Linked DNA regions of Caenorhabditis elegans. The protein of the gene in region 2 purifies or fractionates together with the protein of the main gene of each other region. This does not show direct contact. Each region holds a gene or a part of one and is shown on either strand. Other genes may lie near its edges.

Region 1 (3,921 bases), on a different chromosome or scaffold from region 2:
TACCTATGTGGATTAAACCATTTACTCTCATTAAACGCATAGCAAATTTCGTCCATTTTTGTCGGATCAAATTCGGATTTTTGTAGAATATTGTTAACCGTATGGATAAGGCAGTATTGAAGACGTTGCTTTTCGTGATAAATTTCTGGTGATGACGTCATCTGGAATATAAATCTAATTGGGGTATTGGATGCTGAAATTTTTTCTATTTTTAAAATGTCGTCGAAATCGTAAATATTTTTTTTGCAGTTTATCGATTTTCTTCTGGAAAAAAATCGATAAAATATTGATTTTTATTCAAAAATTTCATGAAAATTATCGATTTTCTATGACTAAATTATTAACTTTTGTGCGAAACAAAATCGAATTTTATTTGAAAATCGAAATTCGAATTTAGTATTGATTTTTCAGAAAATTTATTCAAAATATCGATTTTTCCTTTTTTTTAATTCAAAAAAAAATCAAAAATCAATTAAAAAAAATTAAGCATAAAATAGGGCACATCCTCTTTTTGAAAAAAAATCAAAAAATCAAAAAATCCATCACCAAATCCTTTATATAAACTGAACAAAATTTTTTTTTTAAATAACAAAAACCATAACCCCAATTCAAAAAATCGTCTAAATATCACAACAAAATGGCGGAATTTTCAGCACAATAAATAGCCAAAAAATCGATAATTTAGTCTTCCTCAGTGAAAAAGTCCTTGACGAGATGCTTATTGGCAATTTGTCTCTCCAAAAGACGTTTTGCCTTGTTTCCAACTTCCAAAAGTGTCGGAATACATGTCAATTTGAGTGTTGGATCAGTACGGAATCCGACAGCTGGGTCACGCCATCTGAAAATTTGGAAATTTAGAGATTTTTTGCAATTTTTTTCAAAATAATTTTTTCCGAAAATTTTTTCTTTGAGAATTTTTCAAAATTTTGACACAGTATTTCGTAATTTCATTGATTTTTTTTTCAAAAAAATTGATTTTTTATAATTTTATAGATTTTTCGTAATTTTATAGATTTTTCATAATTTTATTGATTTTTTCTTTTAAAAAAAATTGATTTTTTATAATTTCATTGATTTTTTATAATTTTATTGATTTTTTCCAGAAAAAATTGATTTTTTTTATGATTTTATTGATTTTTTCTTTAAAAAATTGGTTTTTTTAAATAATTTTATTGATGTTTCTTTAAAAAACAATTGATTTTTTATAATTTTATTGATTTTTTCTTTAAAAAAATTTATTTTTTATAATTTTATTGATTTTTTCTAAAAAAAATTGATTTTTTTTGGAAAAAATCAATAAAATTATAAAAAAATGAATTTTTCCAAAAAAAAAAATGATTTGTCGTAATTTTATTGATTTAAAAATAATTGATTTTTTATAATTTCATTGATTTTTTATAATTTCATTGATTTTTTATAATTTTATTGATTTTTTATAATTTTATTGATTTTTTATATTTTTATTGATTTTTTTTTTCAAAAAATTGATTTTTCGTAATGTTATCGACTTTTTCCAAAAAAAATTTGATTTTTATAATTTTATTGATTTTTTATAATTTTTTGATTTTTTAATAATTTTATTGATTTTTCGTAATTTTATTGATTTTTTCCAAAAAATATTGATTTTTCGTAATTTTATCGATTTTTTTTTACAAAAATCCACGAACACTTCACGATTTCCGACGAAAACAGTGACAAAATGGACATCGAGTCCGGCGACGGCGGCGTCCTTGATCACTTCTTCGACAACTGGCTCAGCTGAAATTCAAATATATTATTTTTTTAATTTATAGGCAGGCGTGAGGTGAGCAGTAGGTAGGCATAGGTATGCGGTAGGCAAAGGCAGGCACACCGTAGGTAGGCATGTAGACTGTAGATAGGTGAGTAGGTAAGCACAGAAGCGGCAGAGGCTGTTAGCAGATAGGTACGCAGGGGATGAGCTAGGCGGGTAGGTAGGCAGGTAGGTAGGCCATCAAAATCTCGTACCAACAACACAATCCGGGCACCAAGACTCTCCGGTTGTCAGAATTTTGGATCCAGTGAACAGAGCGACGACTCGTTTTCCTTTTCCAATCGATTTCAGTGTCTCCTGAAATGCTTCGTATCCCTGAGCAGTGTAGTGTTTCAGTCCGGTCATCTGGAGAAAAAATTCATGAAATTTTCAAATTTACCACAAATTTTCAACAAAAAAATATTCGGAAGAGACATGAAAATCCTTTAAAAAACCCGAAAAATGATAGGATTTTATTTTTTTTTCTGCACTTTTGCACAAAATTTTTGAGCCATATTCCAAAATTCAAATTTTAAAATTTTTTTCTGAAAATTGGAAAGAAAAATTTTAATTTTCCCAAAATTTTCAGTGTTTTTAGGAATTTCTTATCGAAAAATTGAGAAAAAAAAACTATAAAATATTGAAAATATTTATTACGGGAACTCAAAATTTTGAGAATGCGTATTTCACAACATATTTGACGCGCAAAATATCTCGTAGCGAAAACTACAGTAATCCTTTAAATGACTACTGTAGCGCGCGGTTGTGTCGATTTACGGGATCTCGATTCTGTTAAATGAGTTGAATCATTTATTTATCGAGTTCCCGTAAATTGACACAACCGAGCTACAGTAGTCATTTAAAGGATTACTGTAGTTTTCGCTACGAGATATAGTTATATTTTGCGCGTCAAATATGTTGTGAAATACGCATTCTCAAAATTTTGAGTTCCCGTAATAAATATTTTCAATAGTTTATAGTTTTTTTTTCTCAATTTTTCGATAAGAAATTTCTAGAAACACTGAAAAATTTTGCGAAATTTAGAATTAATTTGCGGCAAAATTCATATTTTCGAAAAAAAATTAAAAAATCAAATTTCAATTTTTTTTCTAGAAAATTTTAGAGAAAAAAATAATAAAGTAAATAAAATCTTCGGAATTTCAAAAACCGATAAAAAGCAACAAAAAAAATTAATAAAAAAATTCAAAAATCCCCAATAATTTATTCCATTCAAAACAAGGTAATCTATTTAAGCAATCTCTTGAGCTCAGGCTTCGTCGATGCATATTCATTGATTGTAACACGGGCAGTTGCTCCAATTCCAACACGAACAGCAGTTCTAGACAACCAATGAGCATTCGAATGGATTCCATCACAAATTCCACGCATTTTCTTCACTTTTAGAAGAGATGAGCACAAAAGAATGACAGTTATAAAGCTGAATGTTATTGGAACAATTGAAATCAGCACAATCCATGAACTCATTTGCTCGAATTTCTGCAAAAAAAAAGAGGTTTCGGGGGGTTTTTACCTACGCCTGCCTTATGCCTAAACCTTTTGCTTTTGAAAATACGAAAAAAAAACGGAAAATTGGCGAAAAATGGCTGCCTACTCGCGTGCCTACCATTAAATCAATTAGTATTTCTTAACTTTTACTTGGAAAAAAAAACGAAAAAATCGTTGCCTACCTGGCGCCTACAAGCGTGCCTACTAGAAAGTTGGTATAAAATCACATTTAAAAAAAAACAATCACATCACATTTGCCCACCTGCAAGGCGACCAACGCCTATTGGTTCGGCGTACCTGCAGGCAGATAGTTAGGGCCTGGTAGGTTGGTTTCGGTAAAAAAAAAGCCATACCTCAGCACATCCGTCGACCATTTTGTTTCCCGTTCCTTTTTGTGCAAAAAACGTGTGAAGAACAGGAGAAAATAATAAAGAAATGATTGAAAATTGGACGGGGGATAACTATTTTCAAAATTTCGAGAAAAAAAAAACGTAAAATTTTAAAGAAATGAGAACAGCCACGCGGCACAACAACAACAACAAGAAAAGTGGAGAAAAATCAATAAAATTAACGAAAAAAAAAACAACGTGAAGCAGAAGAAATGCCTGCCTACGCCTGTAGGCAGGCAGGTAGGTAGGCACCGA
Region 2 (4,735 bases):
TTACCTGACTATGAGTTTTATTTTTGATTATTCTTCTTTCTACAATTTAACAAAACAATTTCTGAAAATACGTTTAACATTTTTTCAATGTAGTTACGCGGCTCATTTAATAACTTTTTCATCAGCGTCCATTTTTCAAATGAATTTTTTTCTAGAAAAAAAAATTACAGTTGTTGTGCCGTAATAATTTTTTCTTGAGCAAAGAATAGCCCAACAACTGTTTCAGTTGCATATTTCGAGCTAGAAAAGTCCACCGCAGTTTAGTTTTGAAGCCTTCGATTATCGTATTTTAGCGTTTTGTAGCATATTCCACATAAAGCACGAAACTAAACTGGAACATTTGTGAAATCATCAATCAAGTCATTTTTGGGTACACATCATGTCTGCGGAGACATTGAGCGAATTCAAATAGACCAAGTCATCATTCCGATTCATTTGTGAAAATTCGTTTTCTGCTAGAACTGTGATCACTCTATTTTTAAATTCTATTCGCATCAAATTTCAATCACAAATATACTTTGTTGCTTGCTGCATTTAACACATTTTTATGGGGTGAACAGGACACTATCAGAAATCAACAAGTATCTAGTATGGTCGAAGACTTTGTTTCGGTGCAGTTTTCTGAACATATTTCTTTTAGGAGGGAAAATGAATATAAAAGATATTGATATCACATAGGCATCAATAATCAATGCTATGAGAAGACACGTTTAAAGTAGGGGGCCGGCAATTTGTCTGGGTGGAAAACCAACACAGAAGAAAAGGACAGAAGAGATGAAAGGTCGTTTAATATACATTACATATCATTGTGAAAAACAAAAGAACTACAAATACTTTTTCTTATTTATTACAACCTGAATTAGAATGTGAATTGAAGGGCGGTTCGAATGGGCAAGAAAACAAACGTCAAAACACACATATTAACGCGGACAACAATATGCAAAAAACTCGTTATGTTCACAAGTATGACTGCTTGGACAGAATCTATCGGAACATGATTTTCCGAGCATTGCACTCGACCAATCGTCCTGTTTCGTTTGCAAAGCTTCTTTCTTGTTTTTGCATAATGGTTTGAATGCTGCTTGGTAGCGATCTGGAAACTTTGTGTTTTGGTTGTCGCTAATATGATTACTTACTTGTCAAGTTCTCCTCGCAGCAAATACCAAAGAATGCTCCCATAGAACAAATATATCCCTTTGGACAACCATCAGAGGTTAGTTTTGGGCCTGGAGTTGTAGTAGTCTTGAAGCCTGAAAAATATGAAGCAATATTTCAGTTAGTTTTTTTAATGTTCATTATTACTTTAATAAAGTTTTAAACTAACTAATACTCGTTTTTAAAACATTGTATTTCTAACGTTTAAACAGCTCAGATCCGAAAAACAGGATCCTTTAAATGAAATAAAAAATAACATTTTATAAACCGGAATTGTAAGTTTCGTTTTTCACCACAAAAATTTGTAGCTAATTTTCAAATATTATTTATGCAGTAGAAAGTTCGAAAGTTTTATTAAAAAACCATCAATCTCAAAACATACCTGGTGGACCATCTGGGCCTTCTGGGCAAGAATACCATTGTCCATTCGACTTTCTAGCTGGTTGTGATTGCATTGCACAACTGAAGTAGTCTTCTGAAATAAAACTGCATTCAATTATCGTATTTGATTTTTGAGTTAAAAATTGAATTTTTGAGTTAAAAATTGAATACGTCAATGAGGGGCTCAGAGTTTTCAAACTTTTGGGTCAAAAATGTATGAAACATTTTACAATTTTTGGTACCATAGGCCTACTTGTGATCATTTTCCTTGGTGAACGTCACTTATATTCATGAAAACAATACGTGGATAACTTACGCAAGACACAGTCAAAATAGCATTCACTACTTGTTCTATAGGAGTTCTGATTTCCACCACAGCCTTTGTGTTCGAATGGGAAACATTGGAAGGTTTCAACGTCAAACCAGTACTAAAAAAAATATTTGCCCGATTTTTTATTAGGTTTAAAATCAACTTACTCTTATCGAAGTTTTATTTTGATTGCATGTATGTCCAGCATTTCTGTTACTTGCACACCATGGTTTTCCAATCGGTTGATCATTTTTCGGTTTGGCAGGATCTGGTTTTTCAAAAGCGGGGAATGCTGACGAATCGATGGAGAAATCTGAAATTATCGAATTATTTTAAATTATTCATGATTTTGAACTACCAATTTGCATGCAATTCATCTTTGTTGTGTTACTCAATGGTTTTCGTGTCCCTTGTATTTCTCTTCCAGTATTTGTGTCCACGCAGTAGCATTGGTTCTTCTTACTGTCACATTGTACAGGCTCAAAATCACCTTAAATACTTATATTTTATCTTTAGCATTATTTTTTCATACCTTTTCCGACGTCACATTTTGGTACGAAACTATTTTCTGGAGGATCTCCGTCGGCAAACAGCTTTTGGAGGTAAACAAGGCAAGCTGAAACGATAAACGTCACTTTTGGGAAAACTTAGGAAATTGAATGGTCTCTACTTACTTCCACATTTTGGCGCGGTTTTCGGATTGTTGGTTCGTGTGTCGTATGCAACAAGTGCAGTGTGAGGAGTAACACAATAACATGATTCAGAGTTACATTGTACAGTTTCATAGTATCCTAAAATTATGAATAAATTAATATAATTTAAAGTTTAGAATCACCATTTTCATTGCATTTTAGTCCATCATCATTCAACGTGCATGGTCCAGTTTTTGGGTTTCTGTAATAAAATATTACATTTTTATAATAAATTTGAAATAAGCAAAGTAATGTTGAAAAATTAAAATTTCCACCAGTTGCTTCAACACTTTATTAATATAAAATTCTTAAACAAAACTGTTATTTTTTTAATAGTGGACACCGAACTGTTGAAAAATATTTTCACTTACTAGGGTTCTAATTATTTCAAAATTGGTTTTTCATAAATTGTGCCTAACAATTTTTGTTCCAAAGAACTAACCTGGCTCGTAATAATCTGTCTCCAAACAGAGCATTGACTTGGGTGAATCCAACAAGTAATATTATGCAGAAAGCTCGCATGCCGGAAATCAAAAAATTGCGTTCGAAGGAATGATTGAAACGAGGAAATGAATGAAGGTAAATAATAACTAGTTAGTGAAACAAACATTATTTGATTTTCGAGAACAAAAAATAGTAAGAGCTATGAGTTGATCATTGAGTGATCTATTGTATTTGGGAATTACTGGCTTTTGGTTATTTTCATCACTCGCCGATGAAATTTTATGTAAGTTATTTTTATGTACATAAATTCTGTGCATATGAAATAGGTGAATCAAAAAGTGTTCACAAATATTTGGAAACATTAACAAAAATATTTCAAATAAAGGAAAAATTCGAGAAAAAAATAATTTTCTTAGGATATGAAAGCCAAGTTATATTCTTTCTTCTCTCCGAAGATTCAAAAAATCAAGAAAGATTAAAAATTGAAACAGTATCTTTTTTCAAAAGAAAAAACTAAGCAGTATCAGTGCTAGTTGAGAACAAGAAAAGGAATCAATTGCTGAACGAATCTTTGTTCGACGAAAAACGAAAAAAAAGGTTTACTTCCTTTTTATCATATTATGTCAACTACTAGAATGCAATGATCAATCGATAAAACTGGTACATTCTCTTATTCTCTTTGGATTCGTTTTTACACCAATAAATTTGGTTTGACTAACAGAATTACCTTTAGTTGAAAAAACATTTATTCGGGAAAAGAAGTGAATCATCAGAAAATAACCCGTTTTTGTCGGAATATTTTTTTAAATAAATAAAGTTCAAACTAATAACTAGACATAAAATAAGAAAATAAAATGAAGAATAGTAGAGACACAGGCCAGAAAGTGATTGGAGAAGAGTTACACAGATCAGTATTACAGCAACAGACTTTACTTTGTTTCGAAGTGACCACGCATTCGTCTTTCTGAAAAAAAGAAAACATTGAGAAAAGATTAAAAGAATAGAAAAGTCTAGAAGTTTCTATGGAAATCACTGGAAGAAAACGTTACTCACGAGTTTTTAGAATAAGAAAACAACAAAACGTTCTAGAATGAATTTCTATCACTAAGAATCATAAATTATACTTTTGAGAAACAATACGGGAATCGAGCTTCAAGTATAACATATAGGAATGTATTTTTCTAATATTTTTTTCAAAGACCGGAACCATTGTTAAGTGTCAGACGATAGAAAAATACGCTGTTTTTAAATTTAAGTTTAAATAATCCTTATTGTGATTTTTATTCACTGTTGGTCATTTTTTGGCAAATTGACAATACATACATTTAGATAAAACCGGCATTGACCCCACTCATTTTCTACAAGCGAAAGTGTATTCCGTTATTTTTCCATAGTTACAGTATGTAGCATTGGGCTTTGTCCGCTACATATGGGTTTTGTCCGCTTCTAGTATTTGTTTTCTGTTAAAGTTGACATTGCTCTTTCAATGAGTATGGTTTTTATAATTAATTTCCAGAAAATCTACACCAGGGCTGCGCCACATTCAATCTTTTCGACAATTTTTTTTCTGATTTTCACTTTGCACATTTGTTCTTTCAATTTCAAACTCGTTTTGTTCGCTCACTTTGCAAAACGGCGTAAAGTCATCACATCCGTAAGTAGCTCCGCCAGTTGGCTCTGTCGTTCTGCAAAATGAAAATTCCAATAAACTTGCTGCCTTTTCTTTTTCTTCTTTCAACCCACTTTATGCAAT
Region 3 (4,021 bases), on a different chromosome or scaffold from region 2:
TGAAAAGCTGGCGCCCAGATCTACTTTCCACGTCATCCGAAATGATGACCAACTACTCAAGCCTCGGAGCTCATGGTAGACCTTATGTGGACAGGTAAGAGAAAAATGTGCCTTTTAAAACTAGAGTTAAATTAAATATTTCTTTGAAAAACAAATTCCAGTGATTTATTGAAAAATTACGCGCACGACTGGAATTTTCAGATACGTGCGCGCAAAAGAGATGCTTGACGATCTCGACGGCAGTTCGAACCTCTATCATGATATTTTGGGCGCTGAGAACCTGATCTACATCGAGTTGGCTCAGAGAAAAGCCGAGTTCGATTTGAAAAGTGGGGAAATTTACAAATAACTATTCAATGAACCTACATTTAATTTTTTTTGCAGCGAGAACCTAACCAACGAGAATGAAATGTACGAAGCAATGTGATCACCGAGTAACAGTTCCTCATCGTTATAATTTGAATAAATGAATAATAATCTGGGATTGAAAACACACATGCAAGATAACAAAGACGAGCACATTGGGAATGTATAAACGTTTATATGAAAAAGAAAAAAGGGAAACGAAAGAAAAAGACACCATGATTGAATCCGAAAGGGAATTGGGCAAAGAGAATATGATAGAGCACTTGTATAAATAGCACAAGTAGAAAAAGAGCAAAGTGCTCATGGGGAAAACATTTTGAAACTTTCTTTCGTTGAAACCGTAACCGACGACACGCGAAACAGGCGGATTTGAGATTTTTGGCGTGACACCGAAAATAGGAGACGACCTTCGAAATGCATAAGATTTCGAAAAAAGATACCAAAATTCGATTCACGTGAATTCTCAAACCACACCGTCCGCTGTCAACTACCCTATAAATTTCACGGGGTATTGTGGGTCGTTCAAGAATTGGTAGAGCAACAATAAAGAGTGAAGTGCGTTTAAGCACGAAATGATAAGAGAAATTTGGGACATAACAAGTTGATAGGGACGAAATTAATAATGTACTAAATTATGAGAATACTAACCAAAAAAAGGATATTATAGAATAAAGAAAAACAATGAATAAGGAAATGGGAACACAGAAAACAGAAGAATAAGAAAATAGTTGGGCCTATTATTGATTTTTCCTCAAATGTGGAGGAACGTACGATCCAGCCTTGGCAGCTCCCGAAGATGCTGGAGCAGCAGCTGCAGGGGCTGGTGCTGGCTCGTTACGCGCTGGAGCTGGATTGGCGGCGCTCATCATCTGAAACGTTGAATTTAGACATTTTCAAGAATAATAAAAATGATTTTTGATAGTTTTAAAACCTTGAAAACTTAGAGTAATTATTTTTCCTTGACACATACCTTGAGAGCTGCAAGAGCACTATCACGTCCACTTCCAGCAGTTGTCGGATACGATCTTGAAGACCCACTTGAAGATGGGCCCGAACTTCCTGGCCAAGCTCCACCGGATCCAGCTTTTACCCAACCTCCTGGTGATTTGCTCTCCTCTTTCTTATTCTTCTCAATTTTGCTTGCATCCGCTAATGATGGGAAGGCAGCGTCACTACCCATATCCAGATTTGCAGCAGCAGCTCTTGGTCTGTACGGAGCTCCTGGTCTTCTCATTGCAGGTGGCTTGTAAGCGGCAGCCATTGCTTTGTCACTGATCGTCACAGCTTGTTCCGGCTCCTCCGTCGCTTTCTTTTCACTGCTAACTTGTCCCCAAGTCTTTGTCTCATGAACCTCGCGATCTTCTGGTTCTTCGTTATTTACTTGATCTTGTTCACTTTCAAGACCCATATCTTTGATTTTCAGACCATCTAGTCTGCAATAAATGAGATATTTAAATGAAATCGGAGCGAATAATCTACTAACCTTCCTTGACTTTCTCCGTATTCAATCCATTCACTTTCTTCGTTAGGATTCACGGCCTTCTCCTCTTCTACCCGCTTTTCAGAAACATCCTCCGACTCTTGCTCATACTCCTCTTGACGCTTGGCTCTTCGTTCGAGTGCTTGACCGACTTCTTCGATTTTAACGGCGGACTTCTTTTTCTTGTCTTTCTTTTTAGCAAAGAAAGCGCTCAAATCGTCACTCATTTTGTGTTGTTGTGAAAAGCGAGTCGGAACTGAAACGTGGAACATTTAGAGAGTAAAATTATTTTGAACGGCCTAAAATGAAACGACAATAGCACAGTTTTCTAATATAGTGAAGTTCAAATAACGAATATGACATGTAAAGTTACTGTGCACAAAGAACAAATGATAGGAAGTGGCAAACTAGCTGGAATTTACTGAAAATGAGAAGAAAACGCGACGCAACACGTCACGCGCGTATCAGAGATTCATTGCAGTTATTTGGCAGAAGGCTGTCTTGACAATAATGAATTTGCTAATTGGAATAGTTTAGGCTTTTGGAGCTTCTAAATATAACTAACAAAAAATGAACAAAACGTGTAAGTTGAAGAGAAATCCAGCTAAAAATTCAGTTTCGCAACAAAAAAAAGTTAGAGACTGCAAACGCGCCAGGACGATTACTGGCGTGTATGGCGATTTTGTTGACGCATATCTCGTTTTATTCAGTTTTCTCTCACATTTACAGTATTTTCGGATGAATAAATTGCTTTTGGTCGAGTTTATAGCAGTTTACATGTATTTATTAAATTAATATTTTAGTCATTTGGATAATGATACAGTTTCCACCACCCAATAAATAAAACCTTACTTTTTTAGGACTCGTAGTGTATGCTAGAGGAATCTCACTTGGTGGACGAGCTAACAGCTTCTTTCATCTCCGATCAAACGTATTATCTTCTTCTGATTCCAAGTCTCATTCCGGTTTTCATCGTCTTTCACTTTTTCAATTGGCTGGGTATGATACGAGAAACGCAACTTATTTACGAGTGTGTTATGAATTTTTTCCAGGTTACGAGTTCTTCTTGAACAATTAAATAATGGCAAATGTTGAAGCAATTCCTGGCTATCTCACGGCCACTTTTCCCACACTTCCAATTGAGATCAAAGACTATGTCTCTGCAATTCTCAAAGAGAATTCCGATGAGATCACATCTTTAGATGAAGTTATGGATGCCGTTGGTGAACATCTTCAAGCTTCCGTGGAAAATCTTTGCGAGGTTGGAGCTAAGAATGCTTGTCAACAACTTCTGAAACTACTTCACGGAGACAACCTTCCAAAGGCTATCAAACAACAGGAAGCAACTACGAAACGTCTCGAGCAAACTGTTGACATGGCTGCTGAAAATCAAAACTTTGAAGCTCTTCAAAGCATCTGGAAAGTACAAACAAGAGATACTCCAACTACCGTTGATAAGAAGAAACTTGCTAAGGCCGAAGATCGTGCTGCAGCGAAAGCAGAAGCTCGTGCAGATGCACCTGTTGAACGGAAGAAGAAGAAGAATGAGCCATCAGCAACGGCTTCCCAAGCTCCAATTCGTGACTCGGGTGCCCGTGGAGCCAACTCAAAGGATATCAAACTGGAAAGTGTGGATATTTCTATCGGTACGAAACAACTTCTCTCATGTGCCGATGTCACAATGGCATTTGGAAGACGATATGGATTGGTTGGAAGAAACGGAATCGGAAAAACGACGCTGCTTAAAATGATTTCAAGCCAACAGTTGAAGATCCCCGCAGGTATTTCAATGCTGTCTGTGGAACAGGAAGTGGAAGGAGATGATACACTCGTTTTGGATGCTGTTTTGATGTCAGATACGAAGAGACAAACACTTCTTGATAGGGAAAAGACGCTGCAAGTGAGATATTCAGAAAATGATATTAATATTCAATGAGAATAATATGACAAAAAAGTCTGATTTGAATTCATTCCATTCTTGAAATATATATTTTTAATTTGAACAAAAATTAATTCATTTTTCAAAATTAAAATTTCAGAGTCGTATAAACAAGGACAATATCAATGACGCCGAGAAAACCAAATGGAATGACGAGCTTTCAAAACTTTACATCGAAATGGAAGCTCTCCAACTTGACAAAGCTCCAGCACGGGCTTCTTCCCTTCTTTATGGTC
Region 4 (4,282 bases), on a different chromosome or scaffold from region 2:
GTAACGACCCACAAAATCATCCGAGCTTAATCTTCTATTAAAATTCTTGAAAGTCAGATCAAAACGTTCCCCGAAAAATACTAAAATGAGTTTTCCTGCATACTGCTGCCGCCGCTCACATCTATCTTTCTGGCGACTGTGTCATTCAAGGCTTCTATGTCATTCAAACTACTGCCACAGTCATACCATGACAGAACTTTTTTGGATTTTTGTTTTCAAAGAATCTCTAGACCAAGAGCATTCTTTGAACTATAAAAACTTGTAAGATACTTGATGGGTTCCTCGAAAAAAAAAAAGTAAAAATCCCGCAGAATGCCGACTTGCGTGCCATCAAGAACGTGATCTCAAAAGTTCGGAAAGCCTGCAGCGATGCGGTTAGGGAAATTTTAAAAATTTTAAACGTTAATCTGGTCAGTATTTCATGGAGATCAAAATTTATACAAATTGATGTAATAACTCTCGCCACACGTGAAGTTACAGAGCTGCAAACGTGTTACCATACTTATGGCGCAGAAGAAAAATCAATCAACAATAACTTTATTTAGGATACACCTGCAAATATCCAAAACGATTTACGATCATAGTTTTTTCCCAAAAAAGTCTTTTCGAAAAATCCCTCAATCAAGGCGCCGGGTCTTTTTGAATACTCATTTAAGTACCAGTTCACCGGTCCGAAAAAGATAGTAGTGTTGCGCCGAATGATCAACACAAGTCCACATTCATCGCCGAACCGTTTGCAAAGCTTTTCCGCATAATCAATCAATTTGAATCTGTAGCTGAAAAAATGTTTGGATCAAATGTTATGCCATTAAGCCGCAAAATACAAACTCGTATTCCATTGGAAGGGCAGCTTGCAGCTTTCTTTGAAGGTTCTCCTCGTGCCTTTTGCAATCTTGGGTTCTGAGGCTTCGTAAAACAAAAGCATTGCACCCGTTTCGATTGAAAGAAGATTTAAAATTGCGTTTGAAATAGCTGTATGAAGTGAATTGGTACTCCTCAGATGAACCGTCACAGAAATCGTAGACGATCACGTAAAATTTGTGGCTGAAATATTTTGGAAAATCAATTTGAAATCTGACTGTTTGCGATATGGTGTGCAAAAAATGGTTACATTTGTAAGTGGATGTGAGAAAAATTACTGACGTTCACAGCAGGGCTGTCTTTTTTTGAATAAATTTTCGGAAAACGCAGATTTTTTGGCTTTTTTGGTCTTTCGGGACCAAAATCTTTTATATTTTTTCACAAATTAAAAAAATTCCAGAAAAAAATTGGTTGGCCCTCAAAAGCCTAGAAATCATCAGAAATCTGCAAAAATCAACATTTGGAGGAATTTTACGGGCTGCGAAAATCGTGAAAAATGCATTGAAAATTTTTCAGAGCGACTTCTTTCCAGTTCAAAGTGCCTAAATTGACCGGGGTTAAATTGGAATACTTCCTTTGTAAGCCTAATAATGGAAATACTATTCACGTTTTAAATAACTTAACAGATAAAATAATTGCTACCCCGGTCATAATTTAATTTGAAAAAAGTAAAGTTATAATACACAATTACCCTTTTATGTCCCTTGTCAATTTACAAAAATACTCACTTTGTCATGATCTTGCCCAATTCTTTAGTCAAAATATTTCGTATATTTTCACTTCCCTCATTATTGTCTTGCACATTATGGATTAAACTTAAGACTCCATCGTCCCAGTACGAGTGATCTTGACGGTATTCTTCAGCCCATCTATTCATTTTCAGTTGTAATTCTTCGGTTTGCTTCTTTAAACGACTCGGTCCAATCATGTTCTTATCGCAAAACATTCCATTCTGGTACGTCTCCAAAATCAGCTGAATATGATACACTTTATTTAGTGAGGGATGTAGTGAGTACCTACACATTGGGCAAGCACTCCGTCGATTATTTTTCTCCATTTTTCAAAAGTTTCCGTTGGTCGAAGAGGATCACAGTTCATTGCCATTTTGAGAGGATTCGTTTCCTCCTGGTCGAGTTTTATAATCATTTGCTGGAAATTTGAAGCTGTCTAACATTGAAATCTTGTGATTCCTTAATAAGTCCTACCTCTGCAATCCACAAAGGTTTATTATCCGTCACAGCGCCACGAAATAGCTCTTTTGTGTATTTACAAGGATTGTTCATCGTATCCTGCATGTATTTCATCAACGTTTTGATTGTAGCGACCTCATTCTGCAAAATTTTGAGTAAGGGTAAAGGGTGAAGGTTAAAAAGGGTCGTGATTAACTTTTTTCCTGCGCAGAAGGCTTCGTAACCACACTTTGAACCAATATCTATTCCGAACATACCATGTAAAAGTGAGACGTTGTTATAAATGACTTAAGATCACCGAACAACGCGTCCATCTTATGTGACAGTTCCCCAATCTTCTTGTCGAGCGTTTTGAGCTCGCTGAGTATCAGCTCCGTTGATTTGTCATCTTTGTATGCAGCCATCGTAACATATGCACTAACTATAGCACCGCATGCACAAATCGCAGTTAAATGCGGAACCACTGCGGCGGACGCATAAGCCCCATGTACTCCTAGGCAGCCAGTGACCACCGAAATAAATCCCGTCGTGTAGTTTACAGCTGGAAAATTGAGAATTCGATTCAATTTCATATTATTTTAAAAATAGAATCTTACCAGCCATCTTGAAATATATAACTGTCTCCAAATAGAAAAGCAATGATGTCTTATCTTTCTTTTCTCTGTTCTTGTTTTATACTCTAGTGCTACACATTACACGCATGCCATTTTTCTTGTGGAACTAAGTATGAGGAATACTGACATTTTCTTTATCAGGAATGCTAGCGTCTTCCTCATAAAAATTCGGAAAGGGCAAAAATGTCAAAGAAAATTATGTGTTGAAAATACTCAAATATGTCAATAGTACCAAGTGACTCATTTAGGGAACACGATTTTTGGCATAGTAAGTGAGTTCCGAACTAAAGAACTAAACTATAAATTCTGATTTTTTTAAAAGATTTTAAAAGAAAGAAAAGATTTATTCACAAAAAACATGTAAAAGATACATTAGTTTTCCTTGAAGGTATTAGATAAAATATTTATTTAAAAAAAAAGAAATCGCAAAAAGATAAAATGTCGTAGTTTTTATTACAATGGAACGGTTTTGAATAAAAACTACAAATATTCATCGAACACCAGCAATTATCTCAAACTTTTGACCGTACCAGTACTGAAAAAAGTCGCCACTACCAAAAAAAAAGTCAGAACCATTGCCCTTGAAACATCTCTCAATACAGTCACCGGGTCCTCTGGGATAATCGTCTGGGTCACAGTTTACCCAACGTTTGCGAATGTTTCTATGTTTTCGAATAATCCCCACAAAGCCACATTCGGCGCCGAACGTTTCGCGAAGACCACGCACGTACTCACGAAGGTCATGAATGCTGAATATTGATTTAAATTAATTAATGGTGTTTTCTTTAAATAAATACCGTATTTTCCGTATTAGTTCATATTGCATTAACATTAACATTAATTGTCTTCAGTTAAACACATTATAAAAGTATGGTAGTGGCGACTAATATAGAAAATGCGGTACACTGTACTTACTACGACTGTGGAGGTGTTGCATCGAGCATCCTTCGAAGAATCTCCAGGAGATTATGCGGAAAAGCTTTGCGAACGGTTCGGCGATGAATGTGGACTTGTGTTGATCATTCGGCGCAACACTACTATCTTTTTCGGACCGGTGAACTGGTACTTAAATGAGTATTCAAAAAGACCCGGCGCCTTGATTGAGGGATTTTTCGAAAAGACTTTTTTGGGAAAAAACTATGATCGTAAATCGTTTTGGATATTTGCAGGTGTATCCTAAATAAAGTTATTGTTGATTGATTTTTCTTCTGCGCCATAAGTATGGTAACACGTTTGCAGCTCTGTAACTTCACGTGTGGCGAGAGTTATTACATCAATTTGTATAAATTTTGATCTCCATGAAATACTGACCAGATTAACGTTTAAAATTTTTAAAATTTCCCTAACCGCATCGCTGCAGGCTTTCCGAACTTTTGAGATCACGTTCTTGATGGCACGCAAGTCGGCATTCTGCGGGATTTTTACTTTTTTTTTTTCGAGGAACCCATCAAGTATCTTACAAGTTTTTATAGTTCAAAGAATGCTCTTGGTCTAGAGATTCTTTGAAAACAAAAATCCAAAAAAGTTCTGTCATGGTATGACTGTGGCAGTAGTTTGAATGACATAGAAGCCTTGAATGACACAGTCGCCAGAAAGATAGATGTGAGCGGCGGCAGC

Evidence for each region.
Region 1: the proteins of B0222.5 (region 2) and txdc-17 fractionate together in Caenorhabditis elegans (co-fractionation; one large-scale study listed by BioGRID). This does not show direct contact.
Region 3: the proteins of B0222.5 (region 2) and F42A10.5 fractionate together in Caenorhabditis elegans (co-fractionation; one large-scale study listed by BioGRID). This does not show direct contact.
Region 4: the proteins of B0222.5 (region 2) and Y94H6A.2 fractionate together in Caenorhabditis elegans (co-fractionation; one large-scale study listed by BioGRID). This does not show direct contact.

Annotation. Positions count from the first base shown.
Region 1 is NC_003281.10:2,832,879-2,836,799, reverse strand, and holds txdc-17 (Thioredoxin domain-containing protein 17), read right to left. Parts: upstream 2,138-3,921; coding exon 1,987-2,137; intron 1,759-1,986; coding exon 1,668-1,758; intron 839-1,667; coding exon 682-838; 3' UTR 539-681; downstream 1-538. Other genes in the region: josd-1 (ubiquitinyl hydrolase 1), read right to left, coding at 4-161; Y71H2AM.29 (G_PROTEIN_RECEP_F1_2 domain-containing protein), read right to left, coding at 3,017-3,268, 3,631-3,651.
Region 2 is NC_003283.11:9,151,810-9,156,544, forward strand, and holds B0222.5 (BPTI/Kunitz inhibitor domain-containing protein), read right to left. Parts: upstream 3,064-4,735; 5' UTR 3,061-3,063; coding exon 2,981-3,060; intron 2,741-2,980; coding exon 2,682-2,740; intron 2,638-2,681; coding exon 2,521-2,637; intron 2,463-2,520; coding exon 2,379-2,462; intron 2,337-2,378; coding exon 2,205-2,336; intron 2,160-2,204; coding exon 2,014-2,159; intron 1,965-2,013; coding exon 1,853-1,964; intron 1,631-1,852; coding exon 1,538-1,630; intron 1,251-1,537; coding exon 1,137-1,250; intron 1,094-1,136; coding exon 921-1,093; 3' UTR 512-920; downstream 1-511. Other genes in the region: B0222.15 (Activin_recp domain-containing protein), read right to left, coding at 3,806-3,946, 4,607-4,667, 4,726-4,735.
Region 3 is NC_003281.10:6,170,699-6,174,719, forward strand, and holds F42A10.5 (Protein CDV3 homolog), read right to left. Parts: upstream 2,103-4,021; 5' UTR 2,074-2,102; coding exon 1,850-2,073; intron 1,800-1,849; coding exon 1,337-1,799; intron 1,236-1,336; coding exon 1,104-1,235; 3' UTR 524-1,103; downstream 1-523. Other genes in the region: F42A10.9 (Gamma-glutamylcyclotransferase family protein), read left to right, coding at 1-94, 385-427; abcf-3 (ABC transporter domain-containing protein), read left to right, coding at 2,928-3,746, 3,886-4,021.
Region 4 is NC_003282.8:2,728,664-2,732,945, reverse strand, and holds Y94H6A.2 (DUF4781 domain-containing protein), read right to left. Parts: upstream 2,655-4,282; coding exon 2,648-2,654; intron 2,593-2,647; coding exon 2,309-2,592; intron 2,193-2,308; coding exon 2,067-2,192; intron 2,011-2,066; coding exon 1,882-2,010; intron 1,835-1,881; coding exon 1,590-1,834; intron 1,045-1,589; coding exon 829-1,044; intron 777-828; coding exon 542-776; 3' UTR 524-541; downstream 1-523.